2 linked regions of the Anolis sagrei genome follow. The protein of the gene in region 1 purifies or fractionates together with the protein of each later gene. This does not show direct contact. Links are inferred from orthologs where the notes say so. Each region holds a gene or a part of one and is shown on either strand. Other genes may lie near its edges.

The links.
Region 2: the proteins of KIFAP3 (region 1) and KIF3A purify together in Homo sapiens (co-immunoprecipitation; 9 studies listed by BioGRID and IntAct, counting the BioPlex papers as one, with this or other methods). This does not show direct contact. The link is inferred for Anolis sagrei from reciprocal best matches to the Homo sapiens genes KIFAP3 and KIF3A.

The regions. Positions count from the first base shown.
Region 1 is NC_090024.1:130,829,036-130,837,028, forward strand, and holds the start of KIFAP3 (kinesin-associated protein 3), read right to left. Parts: upstream 3,015-7,993; 5' UTR 2,882-3,014; coding exon 2,850-2,881; intron 1-2,849. UniProt on the Homo sapiens protein: Involved in tethering the chromosomes to the spindle pole and in chromosome movement. Binds to the tail domain of the KIF3A/KIF3B heterodimer to form a heterotrimeric KIF3 complex and may regulate the membrane binding of this complex.
Region 2 is NC_090022.1:94,864,691-94,871,918, forward strand, and holds the start of KIF3A (kinesin-like protein KIF3A), read right to left. Parts: upstream 3,021-7,228; 5' UTR 2,886-3,020; coding exon 2,880-2,885; intron 1-2,879. UniProt on the Homo sapiens protein: Microtubule-based anterograde translocator for membranous organelles. Plus end-directed microtubule sliding activity in vitro. Plays a role in primary cilia formation. Plays a role in centriole cohesion and subdistal appendage organization and function.

The DNA.
Region 1 (7,993 bases):
ATTTTAAGTTGTAATGTTTTTGGTTGTGAGCCGCTTTGAGTCTTCATATGGAGGCCAAGATGAAGTACTTTGGCCACATCATGAGAAGAAAGGAAAGCTTAGAGAAGACAGTGATGCTGGGGAAAATGGAAGGAAAAAGGAAGAGGGGCCAACCAAGGGCAAGATGGATGGATGGGATCCTTGAAGTGACTGGATTGACCTTGAAAGACCTAGGGGTGGTGGCGACTGACATGGAGCTCTGGCGTGGACTGGTCCATGAAGTCACGAAGGGTCGGAAAAGACTGAATGAATGAACAACAACAAAGGACAGTGAACTGGCCCTGGCTTAAAAAGTTTGGACACGCCTGATGGAAGGCATGGGAATTTATACAAATTGGGTTTTTGCAAGTGTCTGTACCTGTGTATGTAAAAGACTCAGAAAGCTCTAGTCATAAGAGAGTACTTTGTTGCCTGCTCCCATTCTTGTTTTCTTTTTTATTGATGTAATATCAAGATGTATTTGGACATACTCTGAAAGCATCTTGATCATGAAGATATATTTCTTGCCTTGTAAGGAATCTCCAAAAAAAATACATTGGCATTTTTATTTTATTTTATTTGGATATGAAGGGGGGGGGATAGCTGATGGCACTATTGCTGTTAGCTAGATGGAAACAGTTCTAGTAGTTAGGAATAGTTTACATGGATTTTCCTTTAAAAGTGACTTAAACTCGAGTGAATGGTATAATATGTTATACTTAATGTATTATCGAAGGCTTTCATGGCTGGAATCACTAGGTTCTTGTGGGTTTTTTCGGGCTATAGGGCCATGTTCTAGAGGCATTTCTCCTGACGTTTCGCCTGCATCTATGGCAAGCATCCTCAGAGGTACCTCACTACCTCTGAGGATGCTTGCCATAGATGCAGGCGAAACGTCAGGAGAAATGCCTCTAGAACATGGCCCTATAGCCCGAAAAAACCCACAAGAACCTAATGTTATACTTACTTTGTACAAGTTGCCGCCTACATACAGATCTAGACATGTTTCATTGTTTCTGAACGTATATTTTCTGTTTATATATGAGATTGTGTCAATTAATTAATTAAATAAATAAATAAAAATGATGGGAGGCATGGGCAAACTTTTGCCCTCCAGGTGTTTTGGACTTCAATGTCTATAATTACTAACAGTTTGGAATTGTGGGAGTTGAAGACCAAAACACTTGGAAGGCCCAAGTCTGCCCATGACTGATCAATCCCCTCCAATACTACTTCTGAACACCATTAACATGCAAGACATTGGGTAGCCCTATGGAGCTCTGTCATTGAATTGGGTTCTAATACCAGTTCTCACACTGGGGCTTTAAAGCAGGCAACCTTACAAGTTGGGAGTCTCCTGCCGCCTGCATTTATTTATCGTGTCATCAGCAACCGAAGCGGATTTTTAGCATAAGTATATGTTATGTAGTAGTAGTTTGTATGTATTGTCGTGATTTATTGTACACTGTCTTTTCTATGTTGCTGTTCACCGCCACGAGTCGCCCTAGGGCTGAGAGTGGCGGTCAATAAGTGCAAGTAATAAATAAATAAATAAATAATAAATAAACCATACCATTGTATTACATTTCTAACAGAAAACAAACACACAGATTAAAAAAAAACAACAAAAAACCCCACAGATTTTGCAAACTTGGTAGTTGGTTAAATGTCCTTTGACCAGTATCTGGCCACTTGGAGTGCCTCTGGTGTTGCCGCAAGAAGGTCCTCCATTGTGCATGTGGCAGGGCTCAGATTGCATTGCAGCAGGTGGTCAGTGGTTTGCTCTTCTCTGCACTCGCATGCCGTGGATTCCACCCTGTAGCCCCATTTCTTAAGATTGGCTCTGCATCTCGTGGTGCCAGAGTGCAGTCTGTTCAGCGCATTCCAAGTCGTCCAGTCTTCTGTATGCCCAGGGGGGAGTCTCTCATCTGGTATCACCCATGGATTGAGGTGCTGGGTTTGGGCCTGCCACTTTTGGACTCTCGCTTGCTGAGGTGTTCCAGCGAGTGTCTCTGTAGATCTAAGAACATTATGTCTTGATTTAAGTCGTTGACGTGCTGGCTGATACCCAAACAAGGGATGAGCTGTACATGTCTCTGCCTTGGTCCTTTCACTATTGGCTGCTACTTCCCGGCAGATGTCAGGTGGTGCAATACCGGCTAAGCAGTGTAATTTCTCTAGTGGTGTAGGGCGCAGACACCCCGTGATAATGCGGCATGTCTCATTAAGAGCCACATCCACTGTTTTAACGTGGTGAGATGTGTTCCACACTGGACATGCGTACTCAGCAGTAGAGTAGCATAGCGCAAGGGCAGATGTCTTCACTGTGTCTGGTTGTGATCCCCAGGTTGTGCCAGTCAGCTTTTGTATGATGTTGTTTCTAGCGCCACTTTTTGCTGATGTTCAGGCAGTGCTTCTTGTAGGTCAGAGCACGGTCCAAAGTGACTCCCAGGTATTTGGGTGTGTTGCAATGCTCCAGTGGGATTCCTTCCCAGGTAATCCTCAGAGCTCGGGATGCTTGTCTGTTCTGCCGCCTGCAGAATCCTGGGAAATGTAGTTTGGGAAAGGAGGACCTGTGTAGTTGAGAATGCCAAAGGCCCCGCCCTAAACTACGATTCCCAGAATGCTGCAGGGCCAGAGAGATGACACAATTAGATAGTACACTCCCTACACATAGAGCCTATTCATATCCAGCCAGAGGCCGCCCTCTCGCTTTGAGGCGACAGGCAGGGCACCCCCCCCCCCCCGCCCTCCAGGCCCGGCCTCGAAGCCCTCTCCCATTCAATGGGCCACCCTCCCCTCCTTTTCCCTTTGCTGAGGGGAGACGTTACCTTTTGAGGTACCGCGCGTCCTCCCCTTGCATCGCGCCAGAAGCAACACTGAGGCTCAGCGGCTGTGGGAAGCGAGGCGACAGACAGCCCTGTTGCCAAGGCGAAAAGGAATAGTGTGCACGCGTTGCGCAAGCGCCGGCCGTCACCTCAGGCGCAGGCGCAGAGATGAGCGCGAGGGCTGAGGGGACGAATCAGCGCCTTGCTTTGCGCAGGCGCGTGCGACATGAATGAAATCAGACCAGTGTGCTGCTCTCTCTCTTTTGTGAGGCGACTCTGTTGAGGCTCTTGAACTTCATTGAGCCTTGTCAGGGAAGAAGTAGTTTTGCATTCAACAGGACCACATTGCTTAGACTGGAGATACACATCTGCAATTATATCCTCAGTGTAGACCAGACACTCCTAAACTCTGGCCCTCCAGCTATTTAGGCCTCTATAGAAATATAGAGTTGGAAGAGGCCTCATGGGCCATCCAGTCCAACCCCCTGCCAAGAAGCAGAAAAATTGCATTCAAAGCACCCCCGACAGATGGCCATCCAGCCTCTGTTTAAAAGCTTCCAAAGAAGGAGCCTCCACCACACTCCAGAGCAAAGAGTTCCACTGCTGAACAGCTCTCACAGTTAGGAAGTTGTTCCTCATGTTCAGATGGAATCTCTTTTCTTGTAGTTTGAAGTCATTGTTCCGCGTTTTAGTCTCCAGGGAAGCAGAAAACAAGCTTGCTCCCTTCTCCCTGTGACTTCCTCTCACATACAGGGTGAGGCAGCATAACTTCCTTTTTTCAAAACTTAATAAATCCCATTGTATGAATCAGAATTTTTTTATATAATGTAGGCGCATATCTAAAGTTTTGTTTTACATAGTTTTGAAGATCAAATTAGGTAGGTGATGTCCCCCATTCTCCATACACTGAGTAAACAATCATAGAATCATAGAATCAAAGAGTTGGAAGAGACCTCATGGGCCATCCAGTCCAACCCCCCGCCAAGAAGCAGGAATATTGCATTCAAATCACCCCTGACAAATGGCCATCCAGCCTCTGCTTAAAAGCCTCCAAAGAAGGAGCCTCCACCACACTCCGGGGCAGAGAGTTCCACTGCTGAACGGCTCTCACAGTCAGGAAGTTCTGACTGTGAGACGACGAATTTGGATCACGAAAATGGACGACGAATTTGGATCATGCTTGGATGATGAGGCGATCGGGGATGGGATTTGTGATAACTGTGTATTGATGATTGTTTATTAGTTAGTAATGGAAATGTGTAATTTAACTGTTTTTGCATATTAATTATTGCTGTTTTTATTGTCTTGCTATTTGCTGTCTGGAAACCGCTGTGAGTCGCCCTCGGGCTTGATATATAGCGGTATACAAGAATAGTAAATAAATAAATAAATAAATAAACTGATTTCTGGCATTTGTCATGACTCTTTCCAGCATAGCAGGCGTTATGTTGGCAATTTCTTCCTGGATGTTGGTCTTCAAATCTTGTAGGGTTCTTTGATGTTTGACATAAACACGGGATTTCAAAAAAACCCATAAAAAATCACAAGGGGCCAAATCTGGAGAGCGGGCCGGCCACTCCAAATCCGCTCGAAAAGTAGGCCTCAACGGCAAAAGCACGCTCCTCACTGTTCCAACGCATGATGGCGACTGAACTGTGTCAGGAAAAAACTTTATACTCCTGCCTCTCGAACTAGACCACTAGCGCTCCGCTACGTCTTCAACCGACTGAATGGCGCACATTTTAATAAAGGAAGTTATGCTGCCTCACCTTGTACATGGCTATCATGTCTCCTCTCAACCTTCTCTTCTTCAGGCAAAACATGGCCAGCTCTTTAAGCCATTCCTCATAGGGCTTGTTCTCCAGACCCTTGATCATTTTAGTCGCCCTCCTCTGGACACATTCCAGCTTGTCAATATCTCTCTCCAATTGTGGTGGCCAGAATTGGACACAATATTCCAGGTGTGGTCTAACCAAGGCAGAATAGGGGAGTAGCCTGACTTCCCTGGATTTAGACACTATGCTCCTATTGATGCAGGCCAAAATCCCATTGGCTTTTTTTGCCGCCACATCACATTGTTGGCTCATGTTTAACTTGTCCATAAAGACTCCAAGATCTTTTTCACACGTACTGCTCTCAAGGCATGCGTCCCACAGCGTGTATCTTTGCATTTCATTTTTTCTGCGTAAGTGGAGTATCTTGCATTTGTCACTATTGAACTTCATTTTGTTGGTTTTGGCCCATCTCTCTAATCTGTTCAGATCTTTTTGAATTCTGCTCCAGTTTTCTGGAGTATTGACTATCCGTCCCAATTTGGTGTTGTCTGCAAACTTGATGATCATGCCTTCTAACCCTTCATCTAAATCATTAATAAAGATGTTGAACAGGACCGGGCCCAGGATGGAACCTACAGCACTCCACTCATCACTTCTTTCCAGGATGAAGAGGAAGCATTGGTGAGCACCCTCTGGGTTCGTTCGCTTAACCAATAGCAGATCTACCTCACCGTAGTTTTGCCTAGCCCACACTGGACTAGTTTGTTTGTTCAATGGTCAGGAATTCTGGGAGTTGGAGGCCCAAACAGCTGGAGGACTGCAGCTTGAGGATGCCTGTTATAGACCCATATAAAGCTGTTAAATGAATCATTTGGCAGCCTAAAACCCCTTCTATGGTAACCAGACCTTGTTCCAGTGAAGGTTTGAGCATTGGGCTCGCTGCTTAGCCACGGAAACCCAGTAGGTGAACTTGCGCAAGTCACACTCTCACAGCCTCAGAAGAAGGTAGAAGCAAACCCCTTGCTAAGAAGACACTTGTAAGTCACTATAAATCAGAAATAAACTCAAAGGTACACAACAGCAGCAGCCAAAACCCATTATCCAATGTGCTAAAAATCCTTTCAATACTGTTACAGTGACCAAGTAGCATCTTTAAAAATAAGATGGAACTATCCTCATATTACCTAGTTACAATGCTGAACAGTGAATCAAAGATCTCCTGCTGCCCTGGTACTTCGCCCATCATGATGGTGTGTGTGTTCTTTTTTAGCCAGAAGCCAGCATTTGAGTCGATTCTCTTTCTAGCAGCATTAGAAAAGAGGCATTACAGTTACTCAGGCCAATCTCAGTGACCAAGGAACTGTGACATCAGTATAATATCTTGAGACCCATTGGCTGACAGCAAAATGAAAGTTATTGACTGTGCATTAATGGGTAATGTTGCTATATCTCTCTGTTTGTTTTTCATATTAAACACATTAAGATTGGAATACTACACAAACTTTGAATGTTTTTATGGGATGACCTTGTTATTCTGAGAAGTATTGGTGGTCCAGTTTCTTTCAGTTACATTGTAAGATTTAAATGGCACAAACTAATATTTGATCAATGGGATGACATTTTCCATCAATAGCATTATCTTTCCACAGAGGTATTGTTATGTACTCCTGAGGCAAAACCCTGTGCTGATGACCACAGTGCTACTGAAAGGATTTTCCATGTGAGACAGACAGACTGAGATAAATAGTCTCTAAAAGCAGCAAAAGCAGTGTGTGGTTACATTGATGGCACATCTCTCGGAGACATTGACTGTGACATCATAACTAACATGTCTTAGAACTGCAGAAAACAGATGTTTGTTACCATTAAAATCCTATAATAAGAAAATTCAAATGAAATGAGATAGTGCTAGAAAATTAGACTTCCAAGTGGAAAGGCACTCAACAAACTACTGGGATAGAATAATAATAATAATAATAATAATAATAATAATAATAATAAATGAAACTGAAATCCAGTCACTGACCAACACAGTCAGAATCTTCAGCACTGACATCAATATGGAGTTCGGCCTAGACAAATGTGCGACAGTGGCATTAAAGATAGAGAAACTTACTCACAACAAGGGCATGCAGATACCAAATGGACAAACTATAAAATACAATCAGCCTGAAGCCTAAAAATATCTGGGCATACTACAGTTGAATAATATCGAGCATGGGCATGTGAAAAATGTGGTCAGCAAAGAATATATCCAAAGAGTTAGAAAGGTTTTGAAGAGCAAATTAAATGGCGGAAATACGATCAAGGTTCTCAACATCTGGGCCATCCCTGTCATTAGATACATTGCTGGAATTGTGAACTGGACACAAGCAGAGTTGGATGATCTGGACAGAAAACAAGAAAACTGATGACAATCCACTACTCATTACACCCGCATAGTATGTCGACAGACTTTACTTACCCAGAAAATCAGAAGGCAGAGGGCTTCTGCAAGTGAAACAAAGGGTAGAAGAAGAGAAACATGCACTGGCAGATTATGTGAAAGGCAGTTAAGAACCAACATTAAGGGAAGTCAAAAGTGCAAAAGACAAAGAGTGAATACTGTAAAAACACAATCCAGAGCAGAAGAGAAAACTGGTGAAAGAAGGCTCTCCATGGACAGTTCCTGGGAAAAATTGAGAGCCAAATTGACAAAGAAAAAACATGGCTGTGGCTCACAAATGGAACTTTGAAAAAGAAGACGGAGGTCCTGATTCTGGCAGCCCAAGAACAAGCCATTAGAACCAATGCCATCAAAAAAGTCAGAACTGAAAATGACAGATCCCAAGTATAGACTCTGCAAGGAAGCAGATGAAACAAAAGATTACATCCTCAGCTGCTGCAAGATCGTGCAAATAGACTACAAGCAGAGGCATAACACAGTTGCTCAGATGATTCATTGGAACCTGTGCCACAAATACAATCTGCCTGTGACAAAGAACTGGTGAGATCACAAGCCGGAAAAAGTTACAGAGAATGAACACGTCAAGCTACTCTGGGACTTCCGAATTCAGACAGACAGAGTTTTGGAGCACAATACTCCTGACCTCACAATCGTGTTAAAAAACAAAGTATGGATTGTTGATGTTGCAATCCCAGGTGACAGCAGGATTGAAGAGAAACAACTGGAAAAGCTGACACAATATGAGGATTTAAAGATTGAACTGCAAAGACTCTGGCACAAACAAGTAAAGGTGGTCCCAGTGGTGATTGGCACACTGGGTGCAGTGCCTAAAGACCTTGGCCTGCACTTAAACACAATCAGCACTGACAAAATTATCATCAGCTACAAAAGGTCACCTTACTGCACGCATTATTCGCTGATACATC
Region 2 (7,228 bases), on another chromosome or scaffold:
CCTAAATAAAATAATGTGGTTGCAGGATACTCTGTTGCAGTCTAAAAGCAAGAAAGGATGTTTCTTCCCAAGAAAGATACAAATGACTCAATATGTGTCTGCTTTTAGCTCAATGTTGGGGTTTTAAAAAATTCTGAATATCACTTAGTGGCTGCTTTAGACATTTACACAAATCTGTTGTGCAGCATTTGCAGTGGACTCCACAAAAGATGCTTCAGCTATATTTCATGCAAAGGAAAATGAATCAGTTTAGTAAGTCTTACAAATACTTATTTGTTTATCAGTAAATGTGTCATTTTTATACCTATTTTATATACTTATATATGTATAAAAAATCTTTGTCTCACCCTGGTCATTCCACAGATATATAAACCCCTTTTTTCCCAGTTCCAGCAGACCTCACCTCTGAGGATGCTTGCCATAGATGCAGGCGAAACGTCAGGAGAAATGCCTCTAGAACATGGCCATATAGCCCGAAAAAAACCCACAAGAACTGTGTGTATAAAAAATCTCATGCCAAAAAGGGTCCCAAGCATAAAAGTTTAAGTACCCCTGCTCCAGGCTATACAGTTAGCCCTCCACATATATGGTTTTAACTTTTGTAGATTTGATTATTCACATATTTCATTAATATGGTCTGTTTAGGAATCTCTAGGTTCTTCAGAGTGACTTTATAGTTAACTTCTGCCTAGAGACTCCTAGAGATGTGTTCTTTTAGGTTTTAAAAATGTGCTTTTTATTTGTGTTTTCCCCACTTTTTCAGGAGTCCTGCAACCCCAAACCCAGCAAATGTGGATGGCCTTCTCAGTGGTGGCCCCTCACCTGTGGAACTCACTCCGGGGAAAATTAGGTCATCAACATCCCTTCTCTCCTTCAGGAGGAAATTAAAGACGTGGTTGTGGGACCAGGCCTTTGGGCAATCTGACAACTAGATAAGGACAATCAGATGACTAGGACTGACAAAGTGGAATTGGAAATTGGACTATGAGATGAGAACGCTGACCGTTAATTAGGTGTAAGTGGTTTTTATTGGTTTTATTGTTGTAATGCAGAAACTACTGCTAACTGTTAATTGCTGCTATGTTGTTTTATACTACTGTTATGTGATGCCAGCATCGAATTGTGCCTTTGTAAGCTGCCCTGAGTCCCCTTCGAGGTGAGAAGGGCGGGGTAGAAGTAATCAAAATAAATAAATAAATCTTAGAGCTCGCGCCGGTTCATAGAAGGAGATGCGATTGCAGAGATAGGTGGGGCCCAAACCGTTTAGGGTTTTATAGGTCATGACCTGCACCTTGAATTTGGCTCAGCAACTTATCAGCAGCCAATGAAGCTGTTTTAATAGGGGTGTTGTATGCTCCCTATAGTTTGATCCAGTAAGGAGCCTGGCTGCCGCCTGCTGTACCAGATCAAACTTCTGGGCCGTCTTCAAGGGCAGCCTCACGTAGAGCGCATTGCAGTAGTCCAGTTTGGATGTAACCAAGGTGTGGACCACCCTGGCCAAGTCAGACTTCACGAGGTATGATCGCAGCTGGCGCACAAGTTTGAGTTGTGCAAAGGCCCTCCTGGCCACCGCTGACACCTGAGCATCAAGCGATAGTGTTGAGTTCAGGGGGACCCCCAAGCTAATTCCTAGCAGCCTCAGGCCCCTTTTTATTTATTTATTCATTTATTTCGTATACTTCTGCCCCACCCTTCTCAGGCCCCAAGGGGGGACTCAGGGCGGCTTACAAAATGGCATAATTTGGTGCCTACACAAATACAACAACATATAAAAACAGCAATTAAATGGTTAACAATTAAAACAATTAAAACAACAATATATTTCACAGTCGATAGCCAATCTCAAGCACAGCGTTCGCCAACTCAGAGTCTATACTTCGTTCCACATTGTCTATTCCTATCCGTCGTCACAGTCCTGTATTCATCTGCCAGATTGCCCAAACGCCTAGTCCCACATCCATGTTTTTAATTTCTTTCTGAAGGAAAGGAGGGATGTTGCTGATCTAATTTCCCTGGGGAGTGAATTCCATAGGTGAGGAGCCACCACTGAGAAGGCCCTGCTCCTCTGTCACTTGTGACAGAGGCGGGGCCGAGAGCAGGGGCCCCCCAGAGGATCTCAGACTCCGAGGTGGGACGTAGAGGGAGATGCGTTCGGACAGATACGCTGGGCCGGAACCGTATAGGGTTTTGTAGGTCAAAACCAACACTTTGAATTGTGCTCGGAACTGGATTGGCAGCCAGTGGAGCTGACACAACGGGGGGTGGGGGGTGGTATGCTCTCTGTATGACGCTCCGGTAAGCAATCTGACTGCCTCCCGCTGGACTAATTGAAGTTTCTGAACAGTCTTCAAGGGCAACCCCACGTAGAGTGCGTTGCAGTAATCTATCCGAAGAGGGCTGGGGCTGTTAGGAATAGTGGGAGGTGAAGTCGAAAACACCCAGAGGGCCCAAGTTTGCCCATGCTTGATCTAATGCAATTGTCTGAACCAGTGAGCCACACAATAGCAGGCCAAAAAACCAAGAGACCACGATTAAAATGGGTTTGGGTTGGTCTGTGTGCTGATGAGGATGAAGTTGTCCTGTCCCTGTCTTCAGAGCATCCCTATGGCTGCCATTCAAGGGAGCATTCTCTGAGAGGGAGGGGCAGTTTTGGCTCTCACGGCCATGAAGGGCGACGTGAAACCCCTTGAGAGAGGAGAAGGCCTCTATTGCAGCCCATCCCTCCCTCCCTCCTTGGGCAGAGGCCGAGGGGCCTTCTTCCTATGCCTCCCCCGCCCTTGGCCTGCCTCCCACCCCGCCCCTAGCAACAACAAGCCCGAGAAGCGCAGGGCCCTGCGGGAAGGAAGGCCAGCCACGGGCAGAGGCTGCTGCCGACTCACCGGCATCGTGCCTGCGCTGGGCCAAGATGGCGAAGGCGGCACCACCACAGAAGGCCGCCCCGAAGGACCAGAGGCGAGGGAGACCCGGTCACCGGCGGTACCACTGACAATAACCGGGCCCAGCGCGCCTGCGCGGAAGGAATGAATGACAGCCCCTCACGCCACGCCCCGCCTGCGTCATGCAGAGGAGTCTCAGCCAATACGCAACGCCTCGAGCCAGCTCCCCCGCTGCTATTGGCCAAAGGTTAGGATTGGAACCGCCAATGGAAATATTGGTTTGGGCCTGGTGGGCGGGAGGAGCGGCGGGAGGGGCGTGGCTGGGCGGTTGGTTTTAAATGGGGAAGCGAAGCGACATCATGTGTTGCTAAGCGAGTAATTGGATTAGAAAGGGATGCAGGAGTGGCATGAAGTAAACACTCCCTAGAAGCCACGGCAACTACACTGGATTTACACCGGCTGTTAGGAATTGTGGGAGCTGAAGTCCAAAACACCTGGAGGGCCCAAGCTTGCCCATGCCTGATCTCCACAGTGGAATTAATCCAATTTGACACCTCCTTTGATTCAATGCTATGGAATGATGGGAGATGTAGTTTATGAGGAAGAAGGCAAAAGACCTGCTGGTAAAACTACAACTCCTATTATTCCATTGCTTTGAGCCATAACCGTTAAAGTGGGGTCAAACTGCATTAATTCTATATGTGTAACTGCCACATCGCAGCTGCCTTTTAAAAAGCCCTCGGAGAGGCAGCCGATCCCCATTCACTTCCAGCATTGCCCGCTCTCAGTCCTTCCCAACAGATTCAACAAATGATTCCCCTAGGCAGGAAGCAGCCAGGTTTTGAAGCTGCAAGGCCATTCAGTGTTAATTAAGGTGGCCAATTGCAACATTCAAATTTTCCTCCAGCAGACAAGAGTCCTTTCTCCCACTGGGAACATTCCAAAGATATGTAAACCTCACTTGCCTAGTTTCCAGCAGACCTCACAACCTCTGAGGATGCCTGCCATAGATGTGGGCAAAATGTCAGGAGAGAATGCTGACGTTTTGGCATCTATCCATCAGCCTCTTCACGTGATGTGAATATTTTGTTAGTGGTGTTAGTTAATGCATACACTTTTTTATAAATTATTTTTCATTTTCACTCTTGATTTTAATAATAACATGAAAATAAAAGAATGAAAATACTGATGATGTAGTAAATACAGATTAAAAAAAACAAAGGGGACAAACTGAGGGTGCATGGCTAGCTGTGTTCGGAAAGAATCGCAGCAACACTTTGCTGCTACTGAATGGATTCAGATTTAACAAATTGCATGTCCCATGGTTTTGACAAACTTCAGCTGCAATTCTGTACCTACTTCATGGGCCCTTCAGAGTCAGTGAAATGCATTTCTGAACACATAGAACTGGACTATATTTTTCTGTCACTGGCTATAACGGCATACAAAAATACTGCCTAGTCAAGATTGGGCTCTTAGATTGCCAGTATGATTAGGTGATTAGATGACAGCTAGTATGTACTACACACACACACACACACACACACACACTAGCCACCCCCCGCCACACGTTGCTGTGGCCCAGTCTGTGTGTATGTGTTTTATGTGTGTATATTTTTGTGTATATGTGTATATATGTGTTTGCATATGTGTGTGTGTGTGGTTTTGCAAATGTGTTGTATTTTTTATTTTTTGGCTTTTTGTGTTTTTCAGTGTTTTCATGAGTGTTGGCCTGATACGTGTATTGTGTCCAAATTTGGTGTCAATTCGTCTAGTGGTTTTTGAGTTATGTTAATCCCACAAACAAACATTACATTTTTATTTATATCCTAGCCATCCCCTGCCATGTGTTGCTGTGGCCCTGTCTGTGTATATGAGTTTTGTGTGTGTATGTATGTGTATATGTGTATATATGTGGTTTTGCGCATGCGTTGTAATGTAATTTTTTTTATTTTTAAGTCTCTTCCGCTGTGTTTTTCAGTGTTTTCATGAGTGATGGTCACTAGTTGGCCTGATAGGTGTCTTGTGTCCAAATTTGGTGTCAATTCGTTCTGTGGTTTTGAGTTATGTATTTTGCTTGTTTTATTGTGTTTGTGTTATAGCTTGTATTGTATTGATGGCCATGGCCTCATGTAAGCCGCACCCAGTCCCCCTGGGGGACATGTAGCGGGGTATAAATAAAGCATTATTATTATTATTATTATTATTATTATTTTATTGTGCTAATCCCACAAACAAACATTACATTTTTATTTATATAGATATTACATTTGTTCTTTTACATTACAGCTGTAAGCACAGTTACTGAGAACTACCTGCTATCTATTTCAATGGAACATATTTCAAGGGAGACAGATTTAGGGTTGCAAAGCTCTGCATTAAATGAAGGCAGGGCAGGCTGCAAGTCTTTTAGCATCCCCAAGGGCCCCCAAAGCTGCCAAACTGAAAGAAACTGCTCACAAACAGAAGCTTACCCCTCCTCCCCGAACCATCTCCCTGTATCAGTTGAGACCAGAAGTGACCAAACATGTCTGGACATGTGAGTGTGGCCCTCCAGGGTGTCATGAGGGTGAGAATCTGGCCCTATTCTCTGTGCAATTGCCCAACCAGTTAAGATCAAATCCATGCTACCTAAGGGCTCCAAACACTGATCCTGGAAGTCAGCCGCTAATGGTACTTGGATGGGAGATTACCAATGAATACCAGAGACAACAGGCTGCAGTTGAGTTTTCCCTCCTTAAGAGAGAATTTAGTATAAAGATGCTGATCAAGGACCTTGCCACCATCCATTCATTGGGACAGTAGGTTCAGCAGGCTACACATGTCTTCCCTAGATGAATGACATAGAGAATGTATGACTTTTATTAATAAAACTAGCTTGGGTACCCGGCGCTGCCCGGGTTATTTTAAAAGGGTATTGTTTGTTTTTGGATTAGAGAAAGGAATTGTATATCAAGGTTGGTCTTTATCAGTTATTTATATGGCTCGCAGTGGTCTCAGGAAGTTAGTGAAGGTACTGTGAGTCCTATCGTCTGTGGTCCATCATCCTCCAAACTGCACCAGGATGGAGAGAGGGTCATGGAGGCTCTGTGTGCTAAGTTTGGTCTTGACCAGTCATTGGATGAGGGTCACAGCAGTCTCAGAAAATGAGTTAAGGTACTGCAAGTCCCATCATCCATAGTCTCACTCTACATCACCAGAATGTTGAGTTGGCCATGGGGGCTCTCTGTGCCAAGTTTGGTCTTTATTGGTATTTGGATGAATGTCACGGTGGTTTCAGGAAGTGAGTGAAGGTACTGCAAGTCCCATCATCCATTATCCATCCTCCTCCAAACAGCACCAGGATGTAGAGTCTCTCATGGGGGCTCTGTGTGCCAAGTTTGGTCTTGATTGGTCATTAGATGAGGGTTGCAGCAGTCTTGGGAAGTGAGTGGAGGTACTTGAAATCCCATCATCCATAGTCTGTTCTCCCCAAACCTCACCAGAATGTTGAGTTGGCCATGGGGGTTCTGTGTGCCAAGTTTGGTCTTCATCAGTCATTGGATGAGGGTCTCAGTAGTTTCACTAAGTGAGCGAAGGAATTGCAAGTCCCACCGTACATGGTGCATCATCCTCCAAACCACACCAGGATGTAGAGTGCATCATGGAGACCCGGTGTGCCAAGTTTGATCCTTATCGGAAATTGGATTATGGTTGCAGTGGTCTCAGGAATTGAGCGAAGAGACTGCAAGTCCCATAATCCATGCTCGATCCACAGTCAAACCACACCATGGCGTAAAGTGGGTAATGAGAGGTCTATGTGCCAAGTTTGGTGTTGTTCAGTCATTGTTGAGGGTCGCAGCAGTCTCGGAAAGCGAGTAGAGGTACTTCAAGTCCCATCATCCATGGTATGCCCTACTCCAAAACACAGTAGGATGTAGAGTGGGTCATGGGAGCTCTGTGTGCCAAGTTTGGTTTTGTTCGGACATTAGATGAGGGTTGCAGCAGTCTTGGGAAGAGAGTGGAGGTACTTGAAGTCCTATCATCCATGGTCTGTCCTCCTCGAAAGTACACCAGGATGGAGAGTGGGTCATGGGGACTCTGTGTGCCAAGTTTGGTCTTGATCAGTCATTGGCAAGGGTCTCAGTGGTCTCAGGAAGTGAGTGAAGTGACTGCAAGTCCCATCATCCATTGTCAAATTCTTCCAAACCACACCAGGATGTAGAGTGGGTTATGTGGGCTCTCTGTGTAAATTGTGGTCCTGATCCATCATTGTTGGCAGTTATAATGGTTTTAGGAAGGGAGTGCAGGTATTGCAAGTCCCATCGTCCATGGTGCATCTTCCTCCAAGTTGCACCAGGACGTAAAGTGGG